2 linked regions of the Alligator mississippiensis genome follow. The protein of the gene in region 1 purifies or fractionates together with the protein of each later gene. This does not show direct contact. Links are inferred from orthologs where the notes say so. Each region holds a gene or a part of one and is shown in the gene's direction. Other genes may lie near its edges.

Region 1 (10,587 bases):
GGGTGGAGCGGGGTTCACTCACTGGCCAGAGGGATGCTTAGACGTGGGGAAAGCCGAGTAAGCATCGGGCCAGCCCGTTCCTCTGACCCGGGGCGTCGCGGTGGAGGCTCCGAGGGCAGTGTGCCGGGCTGGGAGGGGGCAGGCTGCCCGGGGCACTCAGTGCTTGCAGGGCTTGCCCGCCCTACCTGTTGGTCGGGGACTGAACACCTGGGCTTGCAGGCAGGGGAGCGGCGGGGCCAGCGAGGAAGCGGGTTTCCTCCCGGCGCGGGAACCAGCTCCAGCTCCGCGATTTCCAGCCCCGCACTGGGAAGAGCACCTCTCCCACCCCCAGCTAGGGGCAGCGCGCGTGCTTTCTGCTTTTATTTTCAAGCGTTTGTAAATACAGCAGGGAAAGGAGCCTCCCCAGTCTGCAGACATTTGCAGGTGGGGGAGCGGGACCCCAGCCAGCCCTGCCCTTGGCCAGAGCATCGCTCAGCATCATCCCCGCAGACCCCGCTCGCCTTGCTCCTGGGGCTGAAGGGAAGACGCTGGAGATCCCCACTGGGGGCTCCGTCCTGCTCCTTTTACGCAGGCGATTAACACAGCGGGGAGGCGCGGGGAGATTACACTCGCGGGAGATGCGGTCCTTGTGGTCTCCAGCCAAACTGGAGGGGGGGAGCAGGGCGTGTTGGCAAACTATACAGCCCGGCATCAACCCATTTCCCATAAACTGCTGGATGCTATTTTGCACTCTCCAACTGAGAGAGTGATTTTTTTTTAAAAAAGAGCCCAGGAGACTATGTGCTTTACGCAAAACTTTTGCGGTGATTTTAAAGGACTTTTGAAGTTTTGGGGTTTGTTTTTTTTAGGGTTTTTCTTTTTTTCTTTTCTTTTCTTTTCTTTTTTTTTTTTTACACTGTAATGTACACACGGCGTAGTGGTTAAACGCTTAGCTCAGGTCCAATTCTCATGCCATGCAACAAGGATCCTGTCCCGGCGCTCCCACGTTTAACTGTGGACTGCTCACAAGTGGATGCTATTGTTGAAGTTGTTTGTGCCGGGTGTGCTAATGCACTGTTTGATTGAGTGAATTAGCAGTCATAACAATCTGGCAGTCTGGCCATAGAAGTGTGCTCAAATTGATTTGTGTTGTGGCTGGACTGGAAAATCTAGTGTGAGTTGGGGTTTTTGTAGTGTTTTTTGTTTTTTTGTTTGTTTGTTTGTTTTGCCCCGAGGCACTGTTTGTACCAAACTCCACTTTTCATTTAATTTTTTTCCCAATAGATGTCGAAAGCCTGAAAGGTTTGCCATCCCCGTTTGGCGCGCTTTCATTATTTTTATTATTTTCTTATTTTAAAAAAAAAGGTCCTAAAAGCAATTTCAGAGTCCCCCAAACCTTGCTTTCAATTAGAGGAAGCATGATTAGCGTGACGTCGTGCTCGGAATGGCAAATCTCCCTTTGTATCTATTAAGTATGTTATCTACTCGTCCTGTCATTGCAAGGAATCCAGGATGTATTTGTACTGGGGAAAGTCCATGCTAATTTGGCTATAATGCAACAATCACGAAAAATAAAACAACCCAGCACGGCAGTACCTATTTGCTTGTTATTGTAACCATCTCAAATGCACACATTATTATTTTCAATAAGTATTTCAATGTTTAGTAAATATCTTCGTGGGGGGGGGGGAGGGGAAGGACCCCATTATGGTGCATTTCTGTAACACTGCATGTCCCTCCACGGAGGGGACGTGTCCCTCTGTGCCTGCTCCCCGCGAAATAACAGGTAGCTGCTGAAACAAACTATGCGAGACCTGCAAGATGTAAAACCAAACTTGCCTTCCCTTTGTCGATAACCTCTTGCTTTTGCGGAGTCTTCTGCTCGGCAGTCGTTTGCCAGAATTATAATGCAGCATGATTAAACCTAAAAAATGACTATTGATCACCCAGAAAGCTTTGTGAAATCATTTAGTCAAGTTTCCCCACTTGAGAAATCGGTGAACAAAATAGGTCAATAGACTAGGATAAGACGAGCTGGAATAGAGAAGTGCATTTCTCAAGGAAATAAAAGTCAGAGCAAATGCAGATAGTTCATAAACTGGATGTTGCGATACACACCCAGCCATAAAAACCATCCTGTCCCACAGCCCCCACCCCTTTCATCCCAATCCGCTTTACACAGAGTCCGGGGAGAAAGTATTTTCTGTTCGCCCGGCTATATTTAAATATTTATATATCAATAACAACTAAGGCAGGAGGGAGGGGGACTGACCCCGTCAGTCAGGTATTTAAGAGGTAACAGCTACGATGCATTTTCTAACTCCTTTTTATGCCTTAGAATTGCCCTCAAAACTAGGCTTTAATAAAACAGTGAGCTCCGTAGCAGGTGGGGTTTTTTTTAAGTAATAAATAATCATAACCACCTATTCATCTTAGTGCCTTAGTATATTCCCTGAAATGGTCAAAGGGAAAAGAGGAGAATACCTGCCCTGAACAGTTATGTGAGTACAAGAGAAGCTCTGCTTCAAACAATATTCCAGGAAAGAAATTAAAGACTTCTTAATTAGTGCAGCAATTAAGCTTTCTTGGTCGCATTTTAATCAGCCCAGGCCCTATCAAAGGACAAACAGAATGATTTGCAGGTCTTTGAATTTTAAACAGGCTTATTGATTTCAGCATCATAAGTCTTCACTTGACACAGGGAGAATTTTCAAATATCAGTTACAGTAATTTGAGTTTTGCTGATATAAATTCTGGGAAAAATAAAGGAAGCGTGTAACAATATCATGACTTGAAAGGGCCAATGAGTAATAAAATGCACCGTGGAAGAAAAAAAGTTTGAAAAGAGGAAGAGAGCAATGTCCTTATTTGTTGAAGTGGAGGTATGTCTGTCTGTGAAAATACATCCAGGAGTTTGCTACAATTCTTAGAGTTTGTTACAATCCGACCAGACAAAAAGCTTTGAAGATCCTTGAACCTTTCAGACATCTCTTTCTTTCTCGGTGTCTAATCCCATTGTTTCCTGAAACCATCACCGTTAACCTAAACCTGTGGTAGTAAAACCTTTCAAACTACATTTTCTTCAAGCTGTTTGGCAACAGACGGATTACGGATCCATGAAAACACACAGAAGAAAACCAAAAGGACAGTCGTGGAGCATATTGTAGGGCAGAGAAACAACCCAGGATCTGGCAGGTTTGGGTTATTTTTGAAATCCCGAGTTCATTTGAAACTTGAAATGAATGGCAACTCCACACATGTTTGGTTCTGCATTCAATTTCTCAAGTGTATGTTTTATGAATATATGTCGTGTGCAGGACAGAGTGCAATGCAGAAGGACGAGCTGAAGCAGAGAAATAAAAGACAATAAATCTGGGCAGTAAGTCTTTTGCAAGTGAAAATGATAAAAAAAAAAAAGATACCTTTTTTTGCAATTGTCGAGGTATTTAAAGTTTTTCTCCCACCCTGTTTTATTTTCTGTTGATTTTGTCTTAGCTTTGCTATTTAAAAAGAACTGCTCCGTGCCAGTGTTAGAAGACAAGGTGCCAGCATTGATATGATAATCACTTGTTTTTCTTCTTTTTTTTTAGAAAAAGTTCTTTTGCTCATTTTAGTGCAATTGAGTTTTTGGAGGAAATGACAGATTCGCTAATGGGAGATATTGGTACTGAAAATTCAAAACATTTGATTGAAAACAATCTAACGTGTGAGGAAGCAGGTTGCAAGAGCAAGCGAATAGCTTGAGATAATCTGAAAAAAAGTGGAAATTTCCCATGTACAGAATTACTTTAATTAAGATTCTTATCACACATCTAGATGTGCAGCCCCATGAATCATGTCTCATATAAATAGTACACTCTTTCTAAAACAGGCTGAGGGACAAGTTGTTATAATTTGGAGAGTACATTCCGGATCTAAGCTTTATATGACGATCTAAGCTTTATATGCAGCTATATGAAGCTTAGATGCTTATATGCCCAGTCTAACGTTGCATTTCTATGAAAGGTTATTTTAAACACAGAAAGGTCATCAAAATAAACGGAGAGGGAACCCCCCTCCCCAACACTGCCAAACTTTCAATCAAAAAGGGAAATTTCCGAGCTCAAGCTAAACCTCCACCCTTAAACCTCATCGTGGTTAGGTATTAGGACATAAATGGGGCCTGGATATTCAAATGTGTGCCGGATTGCACAGCCTGTCAATTTAGTGACTGCGCATGTGTGAGCAAGCGCAAGAGCTAATTGTACACTGATACCTGGTTATTACACATCAAAGTTGGATCGGTGCTATAGAGTCACCTGTTGTTCACCGGCCGCTGCAATACCTAGACACAACAGGGTGGGAGTAAGCACTCAGCTGCAGCTCTCTAACATGGCAAGTTCCTTCAGCCTTGCTCTAATGAACGCAGCTGCCCCATTTTAGCCAAACATGCAGAGCTATATATATATATATATATATATATATATATATATATATATATATGGATGAGAAAACAAAAATCATGCGAGAATGGGAATGGTCTTTTATGCACTCGAAAGACACGCAAGCACAAAGTGAGAAAGACCCGTGATCAAAAAAGTTCCCGGAGACAAAAGGTGCGAGCGTGCCCTTGCCCTTGCCCCATCCCAGCTGGGCACCGGCCCGCTTTAGCCCCGCACGCCCCGCACGGTGCCCGGCGCGCTTTGCTCCGCCACTGCCCGGTCTCGCCAGGAAGTCCTCGGGAGTCGCTTGAGTTGGGCTTTTTCTTCTGGAGTGCTTGGCGCTCCAGGCAATTACAACTTGTCCGCACAAACAAAGAGATCTGGCGATAAAACGAGGCCGGCTCTTGCTGTTAACCGCCCAGCCCTGCCAATTTGGCATTGTTTGTTGCCTGGGGGGGCTCAAAATAAATAAATAAATAAATAATAGCTGATAAATAAATAAATAATAATAAATACAGAAATGCGCGCAAAACTAACTCAACCAAAGAAAAATAGATAAATGCACAGATAACTCACTACCTAAATCAAAGAAAAATAAATACATGCACACGTAACTAACTAACTATCTCAAAGAAAAAGAAAGACATGCACGCACAACTAACTAAATCAGACCAACACACGATCTGAGCTTTGTTTGCAAGTGGATCTGCTCCTCTCCCACCCGGTGGGAGATGGGTGACCAAGCAAAGTTTCCTCTGCGCCCCCGCCACCTTTCATGCCCTGAAAGAGACGCAGTTTAATCTCTCTCTATCTCTCTCTTTTTTTAAAGAAAGGCTTGAAATGTTCTTTATATACATTTTTTTTTTAATGGTGTTGACAAGCGATTGTTTGGAAGGGCTTGGAAAATTGCATCTCGTCTCTGATGAGATGAAATATGAAACATGTAATCTAACGGTTTATGAAGAGGAGGAGGAAGAGGGCTCTCTCTCTCTCTCTCTCTCTCTGATTCTTTGCTCCGGGTTGCTGGTTGGATAATTTGGGTTAATACTAGTGAGTGAGGCTTTTGCTGCTTCAAAGGGTATTTCAAGTTGCCGGAGCTCCTCCCCTCTGCACCGTGTGACAACAACAACTCGTCCAGAGAGCGAGCGAGCGAGCAGCGAGCGGCAGCAGCAAGCCAGCACTTTTTTTTTCCCCAGCTCATTTTCTCTCTGTCATTTCCCCCTCTCAATCTTTGATCAATGTGCTCGCCAGAGAGAACCGAAGTCCTTCCAGCCTCCTCCTTCCCACCTTCCTCTTTCACGCGGTGCTAGAGCCAAAAGGACCACAAAAACAAACTGCCCTCCCCACCTCCCTCTCTTCTCCCCTGCACCCCAGCCCCGGGAGCGGACTTCTCCTCCTCGCTGGCGGGACACTTTGTGCGCCTCTTCCCCTCTCTCTCGCTGCCCTCTGCTCTCCGGGCTTGGGGGTCCCTCTCCCCCCCCAGCCCTTCTCCCTCCCCGCCCCCCCCCCCCACCCCTTCCCTTCTCTCTCTTTCTTGCTTTCTTTCTCTCGTGTGTGTGGCAACTTTGTGCTCCCCCCCCGCCCTACCCCGGCTCCGTATATGTGACCATGGCCGTCCCGGCTGCCTTGATCCCGCCGACCCAGCTGGTCCCCCCGCAGCCTCCGATCTCCACTTCTGCCGCCTGCACCACCACCACCACCACGTCGTCGGCCACCTCGTCGCCGTCTCCGTCCGTGGCTCCCCCGCCAGCCGCGTCGGGGACCAGCGTGTTCCGGCCGGAGCCCCTCGGAGCCGCGGCGGCCGCGGGCACCTCCAGCACCGCCGCCGCCAGCGCGGGCAGCGGAGGAGGCGGCGGCGGCAGCGGCAGCGGCAGCACCGGCGGCGGCGGAGGCGGCGGCGGCAGCAGCAGCTGCAGCCCCAGCGCGGGCACCGCCGGCGGCCCCGGCCCCGCCGCCCCCAGCGCCAGCGCGCCCAGCGCCGGGGGCAGCCTGCCCGGCAAGCCCGTGTACTCCACCCCGTCCCCGGTGGAGAACACCCCCCAGAATAATGAGTGCAAGATGGTGGATCTGAGGGGGGCCAAGGTGGCCTCCTTCACCGTGGAGGGCTGCGAGCTCATCTGCCTGCCCCAGGCTTTCGACCTCTTCCTCAAGCACTTGGTCGGGGGCTTGCACACGGTCTACACCAAGCTGAAGCGGCTGGAGATCACGCCCGTGGTGTGCAACGTGGAGCAGGTCCGCATCCTGCGGGGGCTGGGGGCCATCCAGCCCGGCGTCAACCGCTGCAAACTCATCTCCAGGAAGGATTTCGAGACCCTCTACAACGACTGCACCAACGCGAGGTAAAAGGCGAGGCGCGCGCGCGCACACGCACCCGCACCCTTGCACACCCGCACCCCTGCACACGCGCACCCATGCATATGCATACCCATGCACACTCACACACTATGCACGCTCACAGCCATGTACACCCGCACCTATACACATGCACACACATGCACACATGCACACGCACACACGGAGCCACGCTGAGCCCCCCCCATCCCGGCTCCATCCCAGCCTCGCACATGCAGCCCGGGCCATCGCCGCGCCTCTTCCCGGTGTCACTGAGCAAGTGGAGCCTGTGTGTCCCCTCCCCGCCCTGGGCGGCGTGCGCTCGCCCCCTCCCCGCCTCCAGAGCCGGGCAGACAGCGGGCGAGGCGGGGTGGGGACTCCCATGCGGGCAGCGGGAAGCTTCCCCCCCGCCCCCACTGCCACCCTACTGCCACTGAGCTGCCCCGTGTCTACACGTGGGACTCCCCCCCCCCCCCACACACACTGCCTCTGTGTGCTCAGGGGGTCACACACTGTTTGGAGTGGGGAGCAGTATGGAGTGGGGGGACAACCAGGAGGTGATGGAGGGGCAGGATTTGTGGGCACTGGGGAGAGAGCAGAGCAGGGCACCCTCCCCCTCCCCCCCCCCCCCAACAACTGAGAGAGCCAGACAAAGGCAGCCGGCCTAAAATTGGCACAGTTAGCCATGCTGGGGGCAGGGGGGGGGGGGGACCTGATAAAAGAGGAAATTCCTGTTGAAATACCAGAGGCAGACAAGGTTCTTTGAGAAGATACGATATCTTTGATTAGACCAGCTCGAGTTGGAAAAATTGCTCTTTGCAAGCTTTCGGGCACAACCACCCTTCTTCAAGCATAGCTTGCTTCAAAAGTGCAGCGTGAAGTGGGGAGGGTTAGGGCTATTATCCCCAAATCGGTCAGTGCCCGGGTTGCATCTGTCTGGCCAAGGGAAGGGGGACATCAGGTGCCCCCTATAAATTGCAGAGGGGTCCCCAGTGTCTTCACTTCAGCCAGGTCCTTGGGTGGTGGTAGTGGAGGTGGAGGGGGGTTCTGGCTTTAAGCAGCTTTAAATACACTGTCACCTGCTTACAGTGCTCCTCTGCTGTCTACATTGGGCAGGCAGGGAGATCTATATGAAAGAATGACCAGTCTGACATTAACCCAGAAAGACACCAAGACTCCAGGCCTTGGTGGGAAACTTTCTACAGTGGCTCAGCTTGACCAATAAAGAGACTTTAGTCTGTGCCAAGAATTTTTTTTTCTGTAACAGCAAATCATCTCTTCCACCTAATCACTTGGGTTGATTTCACTTTCTATTATTATTACTACTATTACTGTATTATTACTATTATTATTATGACGGCTGCTTAAAGTGCAGCAAGAGCAGCACGTGGAGAATTGTTCATTTTGTTGTGCAGTGTCTGGGTGTGACTCTCTGAATTAGCTGGGGGGAGTTGGATTCATTAGCCCAGGTCAAGGCAAAGGAAAACACTTTCTCCATGGTCTTTAGTTGTAGATTGATTATTGAAGCATCTGAATATTTAGGGGGACAAGAAGGCAACTTGCTCTAGAGGAACTTAAGTAACTACTTTGGAAACCTTTTGGGAGCTAGAGAGATCTTGGTTGGTGGTGGAATCAAGAAGAGTTTGAAAAATGAGTAACATACTGCTGGGATTACATTTGTATGGGTGCATATATATACTAAAGAATACACAGCATTAAAAAACAGGATAGCCTAGCTCTGAGGGGAAACCTGTGTACATTTGTTAGGTTGTAACATGATTTGGGAACATGATTAAAACCAGGGTCACAGCACACCAGCACTGCAAAACTGACTGTGCTTCAACAGCCTCAGGAGATAGTTGTGCTGTAATCTGACATGGTAGAAATTACAGTGTGTGTGTGTGTGTGTGTGTGTGTGTATGTGTACACACACACACACACACACACACACACACACACACACACACGGCAAGCAGGATATGACCCCCAGGAAAATAATGGGAAGAGTTTATGGTATCTATGCACCCCGTATTTTTACATTATATATGAGTGAAGCAGAGTAGTTCGGTGAGTTTTGGTAACGTGGATTTCACCATTAGTACATACAACTCTATTTACTTTCTAATCTTTTTTCTTGTGTATGACTTACTCTGGCTTGGTTTTAACTACTTGTAACTTTAATGCAATTTTGTAAAAATTTTGAAATAATGGATCTAGTAATTTAAATTTCCTTTTATAAGACAACAGTTACTCTGTTCTTTATCTGATATTTTACTTATTATTGTGATTGAAAATATAAGAACAAACTCCATTCCAGTATATAAAATATTACATCCACACCATCTAAAATATCTTATCACCGCTATATTTGTATCACAGTCATTTGACACACTTGAGTACCACTCTGATCCTTTTTTTTAGATGATGCTTACAACTTAGTCAAGGTTAATACATTATTCAATCAGATGTGGATTTCAACAAAGCTATTCATTTGTCTTGTGTAAAATCTCATTTGATTAATCTAAACGCTTTTGTTAGGCATCTGTTGTGATGACAAATACTTATAACAACATATTTAAATGAACTTGACTTTTTAAATTTTGCACCTATCTGGTTGAAAAGATATTTCATATTTACAAGCTTTTACCTTAAGTCTTAAACTGAAGCCTCAAGATTTGAAAAGTTTTTCAAGTGCCTGTTTTCAGCAATATGGTTAATTTTAAGTGCAATATTGCTATACTTAAAAATCAATAAAACAAATCAATAAAACATCAGGGAATTTTCTCTTGAATACTTAACTTACAAGTCAGTTTGCAAAGTGAATTGGTTTCTGTTTTTATCTGTGATCCTAATAATAATAAGAACAATAGTATTCAAAGAACCTTTTTCTAAATAGGGTCCCTAAATCACTGGCAAATAGTTTTCCGGTGTGGAAGGCAATTCTTTTTTCCCATTCATCCTGACCTTTGCTTATGTCTTCTCCACAGAAAGCGCTAGTCACCAAACATAAATTCCAGAAATAGCTATCAGGACTTTATACAAAACTATGATGAAGCGGGATTGGCATGGATGAGAATCTTTGGAGAGATGATAGAAAGCCTGCTGCCAAGCAAAACGAGAGGTGTAAAGGCAAAAACCTTGAAAATATTTTAGGTTGTCAAGCCAAAATTAGTCAGCTTACATCAGTTATTTAAGAAACAAAGCATAGCATACTATCCATTGAATGTTAACTGCATAGGATTAACGACCTGGTACCTACCCTCATGATTGTTTCCTAGTCTCTTGTGTTCCTGAGTTCTTGTCGTGGAATTTTGCCATTCCTCATGCAATCTTTCCATTCACTGAACTGGGCTTTGGATCAGGCCCTTTTTGAGTAGAGATGGAAGGCATGCCTTTTTCTGACCTCCCTCCTGTGGCCAGTATATGTTAATCTTTTCTGACATGAGGATACGGTTTTGAATGAGTTCACAGAGTTCTTAGTAAAAGTGAAGAATCCTAAGTATTGTTTGGTAGCAGTATTTAAAATGTGAAAAATTGTTTTTTGAGTATAGCAAAGCAGCAGGGTATAGAATTGAAAATAATTATGTCCAATGCTTGACTTATATTGTAGTAAAACCAGTTCATTTTTGTTAGCTTTTGCACCTTTCAAAATAGATTGCAATAGCATATTCATGTGTAGAGAACGCTGCATTCCTGTTTAGTTTGCCTGTTTGACTTTTCTTAAAAATATGCTGTCTAAATAAGTTACTATAGTTCAGGTATGTTTTTGGTGAACAGGTCAGCAAGAAACAGATTACATACCACAGATCAGTTCATACAAATAACATCTCTGGTTTATAAGTTCCCATATCATACT
Region 2 (9,671 bases), on another chromosome or scaffold:
TGGCACCCATAAAAGGATCCCACAGAACCCCAAGGTGCCTGGGCAACTTGGTTGAGAATCGCTGTCCTAGTTTAACTTAAAATGGAAAGACTCAAGCATTTTTTACTGTTTCTTTTTTTTTACAAAAGGGCTTAAAATAATTGTCATGATTTTTTGGCAGATAAAAATATAATGGTTGACAACATGGCTTTTGAGTGTGCTTTCCTTTAAACATACTGCATTGTGTAACATGTATATTGCATGTGTGTGTTGTTTGCTGCAACATACATTTATTTTCACACGCATAATAATGCTAAAAATGCTAACAGGTTATTTTAACGTTTTAAGTCATGCCAAGTAGCTCTCATTGTCAACTGCAGTAAATTTAATTTTTTGCAATTTGTAAAGAAAAAGTTGATAACCACTGAACTAGGACAAAAACATCTAAACTGTAACAGAAAAGACGTTTCTTTTTCATAGCCAGGGCTAAGAACTGTTAAATTACACTTTGCTAGAATGCAACCTTGTTTCTGGAATCTGAAAAGCAAAGTGAGGCTTCAGGGTTAGCAAAAGGATGAAAATTATGGAAACAAAATTAAAACCACCAGATCTACCATGGTCAAAAGAAAATAGCTTATAAAACCCTGGTGTCTTGCTTTTTACATAAACTTATCTTACTGTTGCAAGAAGAGAAAAAGCAGTTAATGCATGCATCTCCAAAAATGTCACCAAAAAAATACATAACTCAGAGTAATCATATCTTCATGTTTTACATCCACAGCTTTATTAACTCTATTAATTCGTTTGATTCCTGTAAGTTCAAGAAAAGCAATCCGCTTGATTTTTGTTTTTAGTCAGTACACATTGTCACATTGTTTTTTGCCCTTTTGGTTCCCTGCACTTTCTTCCTGACTGTGTTTGTTCTAAAACACCTTTAGCTTTTACCTCTACCAACGTGCTTGGGAAAAACACTACTGCACTTTAAACATCATTTCACTTTCCCTTGCCATTTCTCTTTTCTGTAAATTACAAAAGTTGCAACACAACTGCCTCAATTCAAAACTTGCCTTCTGTTACATTTAACCTTTTCCTTTAACTCACAGATCTGCTTACCGAAGGCAACTTTGCAATGCTTCACCTTACTCACTTCAGCCTTAACTTGAACTTCAGTTTCTTCTTTTCCCAGGCACTAATTTCTAATCCTACACGAGATGCAAGAAATGTCAACTCCGCTATCCTCTCATGGAGGGAGGTGTAACTTCAAGCTGATCTTTCCCTCATTAGCTTTACGTTATTTCTCATACTTCTTACAGTCATCTCCTGGGGTAGTAGTACACTCCACGTACCAAACGCAGGCCCTGAAGGATGATTGCTTTTACTTCTGCCTTTTCCTACTTGGGGTTACTCAGAATGGCAACTCTAAGTTTCCTCCAGTTTTGCATGGATTGTTCCCATTCAAATTTCTCAAGCATTACCCATCACATGCCAACATTTTCCCAGTAGCATCCAGTATTTCTTTGCTGTGCAGTACCACCCCTGTTGTCCTGTAAGTTGTTGTGTTTACTGGAGAGGAACTATTTGCTGCCTAAGAAAGACAGATGATGATCCTTCCATCTACAGGCTTTCAGGATTACTGACTGGTATCCTCCCGATTACACCAAACTGCTGGAATCTGATTGACCATGTCAGTAATTGAGCTAAAATCCCTTTATCAAACCCAAACACAAGAACTGTCATACAGTTACTTTAGACAAACCTTCTAACTAACTGTATATTAGATGGCAGTGTTGCAGCAGTTATTAATGACTTCACTCACACAGTAATTACAGCTACAAGCACTCGATCTGAATACAGGCAGTCCTCGACTTCCAACGTTTCGAGTTACAACGTTTTGCATTTACAACGTTTATAAATTGACACCCTGTTTCAACTTTCTGATGTCAGTTTCGGCTTTACAATGCTTGAACTGATGTGACGCCACACCAGCGAACAAGTTTGCTGCGTCGCTCATCTCCCTGGAGAACGTCTGTCCAAACTTCCTTGGACACTTTCTTTAAGAAAACAGACAAGACTCCAGAAAAACCTGCAGCCAGGACTGCTAAGAAGACTCCAGCCAAGAACCCTTCAAACAGTCCAACCAAGAGCCCTTCAAAATGTCCAGCAAAGTCACCTCAAAGAAGTCCTTCCAAATCAATGTGATTGCTATTTACGTTATAAATACATTAATGTAGCTATATTACTCAACTATAATTGATCGAGTATAAAATTCTGGGGTATTTTTGGTGAAAATAGGGTATCGGGCCTTGGTTCAGGAACCAATCCCCCATTTATAACATTGTTTCTTATGAGAAAATCGGTTCTGAGTTACGACGTTACGACTTAAGACGCGGTTTTCAGGAACCAATTGTATTGTAAGTCTGAGGACTGCCTGTACTTACAACCAGGCTAGAGAAGGACTTCCTTGCTGTCCCAGTCAACAGACTAACTCACACTCCCAAGGACCCCTGTTTAATCCCCTTAGATTTCTCATTACATCTTCTTCTGAGCTCCAGAAATTGATCAGATCTAGCCCCTGACTTGTATATAAGCCTCTCTGACTGTTTGCAAAACACAAAACCTTCTTCTACCATCCTTGTTTTCCTTCAGCCCATTCTCAGATATACTGGAGCCAGGTGACTGGTATACCAGGCTCCTTGCTGTGACTCTCCCACCTTTCCTAGCTCTTTTCCTTTGTCTTTTCCTTTTCCTGTTGACCAACATGTGCACGCAACAAATGACACGGGTCACCTGTGGGTGTGAGAGGGGGCAGGTACCACAGCAGCAGATAGGTCAGGAAGGAGAAAGCAGAACAGCAGATGAGATGAGGCAGAGGAGTGGCACCTGGGGCTGTTGAGGGCTAATTTGTGACATGCTCACCGAAAAGGCTTGCCTCCAACCTCTGTGGCTTAGTAGCTTCCACCATGACACTGGGCTCTGTTTTCCTGCTTAAATCGTGCATTCCTGAAAGTCTGATCCAATGTTGGACATCAGAATATATTCAAACACATCACTATCCAGTCCATAATACCTTCCTTAACATACCACAACATGATGCCTACATCATACACATCTCACCTCCACAGGGCAGCTCACAGGTACAAGAGTGAGCCTGAAACTTCGCCCCGTAAGCTGCTTTGAAGGACTGCGCATTTTCTTTATACCGAACCAATGCAGTTGCAACACAGCATCAAGAGTATTGGACTCAACTTAGTGAATCTGCTGCTTTTAAACCAGAGATTTCAACCAGGCTGTGGTGCTGGTGGCAGGAAAAATATTATTGTGGGGAGCTGAATAAATATTATTGTGGGGGGGCTGACCCACGCCCCTGCAGGTTTATTGCAGACCCGGTGTGTGCTGGTGCTGTACGCGGTGCTGGAGGAGCAGCGCCGGGTGCTGTGGGACAGCAGTGCCGTGGTGCTGGTGCTGTCGCTGGCTGCTGCAAAATTAGTTTGGGGGGGCTAAGCCCCAGCCTTCCGCCACCTATAAGCTTTGGGCAGGGCTGGATTCATGCATAAGCAAACTAGGCACATCCCTAGGGCCCTGTCCGCCTCCCTTCCCTTCACTTCCCCTTCCCTCCGCCAGCCTCGCCACTGCGGCAGCTGCTTCCTAGAGGCCGCTCTGAGCCCTGCTCCCCGCAGGCAGCAGCACCAGGGTGGGGAGAGGGGTCTTGACCAGCCCCGGGGTCCATGAGCTTGTTTGCCTCGGGCTTACAAAAGGGTTCATCCAGCCCTGGCTGTGGGGGCACTGCCAGAACCTTTAAAGGCTCAACATAACTGCTATTTATTGGGTCAGACCTTAGGTCCGTCCAGTCCAGCATCCTGTCACAGTGGCTCGAGGGCCAGCCGATGCTGTCTGGTGTGCTCTGCTCAGCACCCCCCTTGGAGCACTTCCCCGTCGCTCTGCCAGAGCAAGACCCGCCATCCCGTCATGCGTCCAACAGGCCCATGCGGGGGCGAGGGTGGCCATCATAGAGGACAGTCCGCTTTTCTGCTACACTGTCCTCTATCGGTCCGAAACCCGACGCCTTAATGTCCTCTCTTTTTCTCTTTGAGAAGACCCGATGCCTTTATGTCCTCTCTTGTTCTCATCTGATGTTTTTCTTGGAGAAAAAACAGAGGACATAAAGGCGTCCGGTTTCATATCAATAGAGGACAACTGGACTGTCCTCTACGATGGCCAGAGAGCGGCACCGAAAGGTGGCAGCGGAGGAGAGCCGCACATGGGACCGACCCGCGTCCCCTTCCCCGCACGCCGCCAGGGGCTGGTTCTTGACCCCGAACGCCGCCAGGGGCTGGTTCTTGACGTCACCCCGCCCAAGGCCACGCGGGATCATGACACGATTATAACCGTCCCTGTTAGCAGGCCCCGTCAGACAAAAACAATCCACAAAAAACTGGATTTTCCTTATTTCCGCCCCAATTTACAAACTCAAAACATTTGAATACACGAGGAACGCATCCATAGATGAATAAAACCACGTGGAGCCATGGGCGCGTGTATTTTTGTCATTTGCCAACAGAAAAAATCCAGGGGTTTTTTTTTGCTTTTTATTCCGATTTAGCCACCCCTGGCGTGGCGAGGCCCTGAACTGTACTTTCAAGCCTAAATGCGGGAGGGCGCTGAGGGAGTGCGACAGCGAGCCAAGAGCGGGGTGTGTTACACATGGGGGAGCGGTGCCGGGGGGGGGGCATAGGGAGTGGTGTGGGGGGGGTGTTGCACGTGGGGGTGCACAGGGAGTGGTGCGGGGGGTGTTACACACAGTAGGTGCACAGGGAGCAGTACAGGGGTGTTACACACGGGGGTGCACGGGGAGCTGTATGCGGGGTGTTGCGCATGGGTGTGCACAGGGAGTGGTGCAGGGGGTGTTACGCACAGGGCTGCACAGGGGGTTACACACAGGGGTGCATGGGGAATGGTGCAGGGGGGTGTTACACATGGGGGTGCACAGGGAGCAGCATGTGGGGGTGTCATGCACAGGGGTGTTACACACAGGGGTGCACAGGGAGCAATGCGGGGGGTGTTACACAAAGGGATCACAGGAAGTAATGTACGGGGGTGTTGCACACTTGGGTGCACAGAGAGCAGTGCAGGGGGATGTTGCACAAGGGGTGCACGGGAAGCAGTGCGGGGGTGTTGCACACGGGGTGCACGGGAAGCAGTGCCAGGGTGTTGCACACGAGGGTGCACGGGGATAGCAGACAGCCCCCTCCCGCACTGTTCCCGCGGCGCCCCCGACCCTGCCCGGCAGCAGGGGGGAGGGGGGAAATCACGTGACAACCGCGCTCCCCACCCCCTCCGCGGGAACCCCCGGCCCGTCCCATACATCCAGGCGGGGGGGGGAGTAGGGAAGAGTCCATCATCCCCCGCGTCACCCCCGTGCCCCCCCTCCCCTCCGCCCCGCTTGGTATCTACCTCCGAAGGAAGCCCCGCCCCCTTCGGGCGCCTCTTCAGCGGGCAACCGGAGATTCGAAAACAATACGTCAGCCCACAATGCGCCGCGCCGACCTGGTCCGCATTACCTCATCCCGGCTTGCCCCGCGCGCGGGAGGAGAAGCTTCGAGGGGCGGGGTGGCCATGGAGACGGGCTCGTAGGCAACCGGCCCGCCCCGCCCCCTCCCCCGGCGGCCGCAGCCAATGGGGAGGCCGCGGGGTGACATCATGGGCTATTTTTAGGGGGTTACTGGTCGCTGATAAGTGTCGGGCTGCACGCGGCGAAAGGGCTCAGACGCGCGGCCGCCAGCGCTGCCCCCTGCGCCCGGCTCGGCTCGGCTCGGCCTGCGGCGTCTCGGGACACACGCGAGCAGCAGCCGGAGGAGGAGGAGGCGGCGGCGGCGCAGCGCAGCGCAGCGCAGCGGGACTCGGGCTCCTGCCCGCAGGGGAGAGGCCAGGGCCGGCCCGCGCCCCCCGGCTGCCCGGTGCCGGCCCGCCCGCCCTTGGCCCCCTGTTCTATGACTGCAAAGATGGAGCCTACCTTCTACGAGGATGCCCTGAACGCCGCCTTCGCGCCGCCCGAGAGCGGTGGCTACGGATACAACAACCCCAAGGCGCTGAAGCAGAGCATGACCCTGAACCTGGCCGACCCCGCCAGCGCCCTGAAGCCGCACCTGAGGAACAAGAGCGCCGACCTGCTCACCTCGCCCGACGTGGGGCTGCTCAAGCTGGCCTCGCCCGAGCTGGAGCGCCTCATCATCCAGTCCAGCAACGGGCTCATCACCACCACGCCGACCCCCACCCAGTTCCTCTGCCCCAAAAACGTGACGGACGAGCAGGAGGGCTTCGCCGAGGGCTTCGTGCGGGCGCTGGCCGAGCTGCACAACCAGAACACGGTGCCCAGCGTCACCTCGGCCGCCCAACCTGGCGGCGGCGGCATGGCACCTGTCTCCTCCATGGCCGGCAACAGCGGGTTCAATGCCAGTTTGCACAGCGAGCCGCCGGTGTACGCCAACCTCAGCAACTTCAACCCCAACGCCCTCACCTCGGCCCCCGGCTACACGCCGGGCAGCATGGGCTACCCGCCGCCACCACCGCCGCCACCACAGCATCACATGAACCCCCAGATGCCGGTGCAGCATCCCAGGCTCCAGGCGTTGAAAGAAGAGCCTCAGACTGTCCCTGAAATGCCGGGGGAGACTCCTCCGCTGTCCCCCATTGACATGGAGTCTCAGGAGAGGATCAAGGCTGAAAGGAAGCGCATGAGAAATCGAATCGCCGCCTCCAAGTGCCGGAAAAGGAAGCTGGAAAGGATTGCCAGATTGGAAGAAAAAGTGAAAACTTTGAAAGCCCAGAACTCAGAACTGGCATCCACTGCCAACATGCTCAGAGAACAGGTTGCACAGCTTAAGCAGAAGGTCATGAACCATGTCAACAGTGGGTGCCAGCTCATGCTCACACAACAGTTGCAAACGTTTTGAAGAGATTGACTCGAGTCAGAACTAATGAGGTTGTGGTAGAGCAAACAAACCCCCCAGAAGTGGCAGACACGTAAAGCTAATGGTAAAAGCTGAAAGGCATTGAGTCCTGCCTGCGCCCCGCCAAGCGCATGTGTGGAAAGACTGGCAAGCCTTCAGTCCGAGCGAGTGGGTGAAGCAGCCAGCAGCACCGCTCTGAGAAGTGCTGTGCCTGCTCCGAGGAGACTTCAGATCTCTTGTTTTAACACTGACCAAGACCTGCATGGACCTAACATTCGATGATCATTCAGTATTAAAGGTTAAACTGCAATAGAGACTGTAGTTTGCTTTCTGTAGTACTCTCTTTAAAGGAAAAAAAAAAAAAGTGGGAGGGAGGCTTGTGGGAGGCTCATAAGGAAAAAAAAAAATGAACTATACTGCCTGCCTTCACTTAAATTTGTGTATGTACATATCTTTTTTTTATTATTATTATTTTATGAAAGCTGATTAATGTCAATAAACTACTTCATGACTTTGTAAGTTATTTTTATGTTGTTTATTTGGGGTCTGCCTGGTACTGTTTTGTAAATAAGACAGTGTTTCCTCCCCAAGCACCCTGAGTTTGCAGTTTGTAATAAAAGTATAATTTTCTTTTATGCTTTTTGCTTCTGGAAAAGAATCCCAGAAAAGTTCTGTTTATATTTTAAGAACTTGTTTTTAAAAATGCATTTCCCCTCCCTTCTCCCCTTCCCCAGTACCTAGATCAGGACTAGTATCCTGTATCCCAAACTCTAAGTGGGTAAGACTGATGTTAAACTTACTCTATAACAACAGACATCTGAGGAATGTGTCAAAGTGGGGATACAAAACCAATGCTGTAGTGTAAACAGATGTGGTTTTTGCATCTTTATTTATTGCCTTTATGTGGTCTGGATTGGCTACCATAATCCAGTAGCAGTTTGGACAGTACACTTAAAAAAATTAAGCAGGTTGGAGGAATCTGCTGTTGTATCGAACTGTCCTGTGCTGAAATAGTGTGAACTGTAACTGGCTATTTAATGTTAGATGCTTCTTAGTAAACTAGTGTCCTCAACAACATATTTAAAATAGGAGATTTAAAAAAAATGTATCCTTCACATGGAACTCATCACCTCATTTTTTTTTTTGTCTAACTATTCCTAGATAAAAGGTGATCTCTGTTCATAAGTATTTATGACAATGCTGTTGTCACAATAAAATCATTCTATAACCCTTTCCCTATCTCTACTTCCTTTCCCTTTCAGATGTTTTTGATTGTATACTTATTTATCCATATGAAAAGTGGGTAAAGCTAACAGTGAGGAAACCTTTTATTTCTACACTGAAAATCAGGGTGTAAATAAAAAGCAAAGCATCTAGGGAGGATTCTTCTTTTTCAAAAAAGACATTATTATGACAACAGCTTCCCTGTCATTGTCAGTGTGCATGTACAATAATTTATAGACTAAGACCATAAGCAACAACTGAGAAACAAGGTACTTAATAGTTCTGAAGAAAAAAACCACGCATGCTTGTGGAAAATAGTAATATTTATCAGTCACTATTTTCAACATACTGATTCTGTGTCCAATTACATTTATATAAAACAGATTGTATTGCTAAAATTATTTGGAGGGGGTTGGAGCCATATAGCTAAGAGGTAACAGATGCTGTGGGGGGAGAGGCAGAATAAAAAATCATTAATACATTACTTTATAATTCTGTTTAGTCAGTCTTAAAAGTCTCCTCTTTTTAAAGTTATAATACTTGTAAGAAAACACAGTACTTCACAAAATGTCAGTTAAAATCATTCATAATAAACACACATGTTAACTGGTAACAAAACTTGGATACCCAGAAACTTTTTGTAACTGCTTTCTCTCAGGATAGTAGTTCCTTTATAGTAGTATACAGTAGTAGTTAGTCCCCTTTGATGAGTGATCCTTTTGGCCCATGATATAAATTGTGGGATATGAATCATTTCATAGAGTAGATTGTTTTAACTTTTGAGTTATAGTAACGTTTCTTCCCTAATAATATATGTGCTGGAGTTGGGATTACTATGTTTAGGTTTTATTTGCTGTTGTCAAATGCATAAAATTGTAACAACACTTACCAAACAAAGGGTTACTGGGAGGATACTGTAATTTGCCAAGAGTACATTTTGCTGATGTCAGCAACCCGGAAGGTAAGTTGATTTTGACCATATGTAGGAATAGTCAGCAGAGGGATAACACACAGCACTGCTGGGGTGTGGCTTTGCAGGGCTTTGACAAGTGCCAACTAGCAAAATAAGCAGGGCAAGGAGATTAATTACCTGCAAAGGTAGAGGTTTAACTCCTGACAGTGCTGTACTATAGACCTTATTAACAAGGATCTGGCTTAACCATCTGAGCGTTGTTTGTGTTTTTGGAAACGTATTCCTAGAAGATTGTTTTAATTAGATGCAGCTGAACGACAAATGGCTCCACCCTGTCACCATAACATACATTCACCACTGTAGTCGTGAAGTGTTCCAGCTCGCACAAATGACATTTCAAGGCACAGGAAAAAGTTGGTTACTAGTACAGCAGCTAATTAAAGCAGGCACTCTTGGATGGTTGTTCATTGGTCTCTATGAAATAAGTTGCTGCTTTCAACAATATGGGATGTACAGGGATGCCCATGTTAGAAAATCCACATCCTAACCGGCACTAATTACCCTTCTTGCCAGCACTGTCACCACGAGGTGAAGGGTGGAAGGAGGAA

Evidence for each region.
Region 2: the proteins of DACH1 (region 1) and JUN purify together in Homo sapiens (affinity purification with western blotting; 3 studies listed by BioGRID and IntAct, with this or other methods). This does not show direct contact. The link is inferred for Alligator mississippiensis from reciprocal best matches to the Homo sapiens genes DACH1 and JUN.

The regions. Positions count from the first base shown.
Region 1 is NC_081824.1:390,805,949-390,816,535, forward strand, and holds the start of DACH1 (dachshund homolog 1), read left to right. Parts: upstream 1-5,439; 5' UTR 5,440-6,008; coding exon 6,009-6,739; intron 6,740-10,587. UniProt on the Homo sapiens protein: Transcription factor that is involved in regulation of organogenesis. Seems to be a regulator of SIX1, SIX6 and probably SIX5.
Region 2 is NC_081828.1:13,375,450-13,385,120, reverse strand, and holds JUN (transcription factor Jun), read left to right. Parts: upstream 1-5,965; 5' UTR 5,966-5,966; coding exon 5,967-6,929; 3' UTR 6,930-6,957; downstream 6,958-9,671. UniProt on the Homo sapiens protein: Transcription factor that recognizes and binds to the AP-1 consensus motif 5'-TGA[GC]TCA-3'.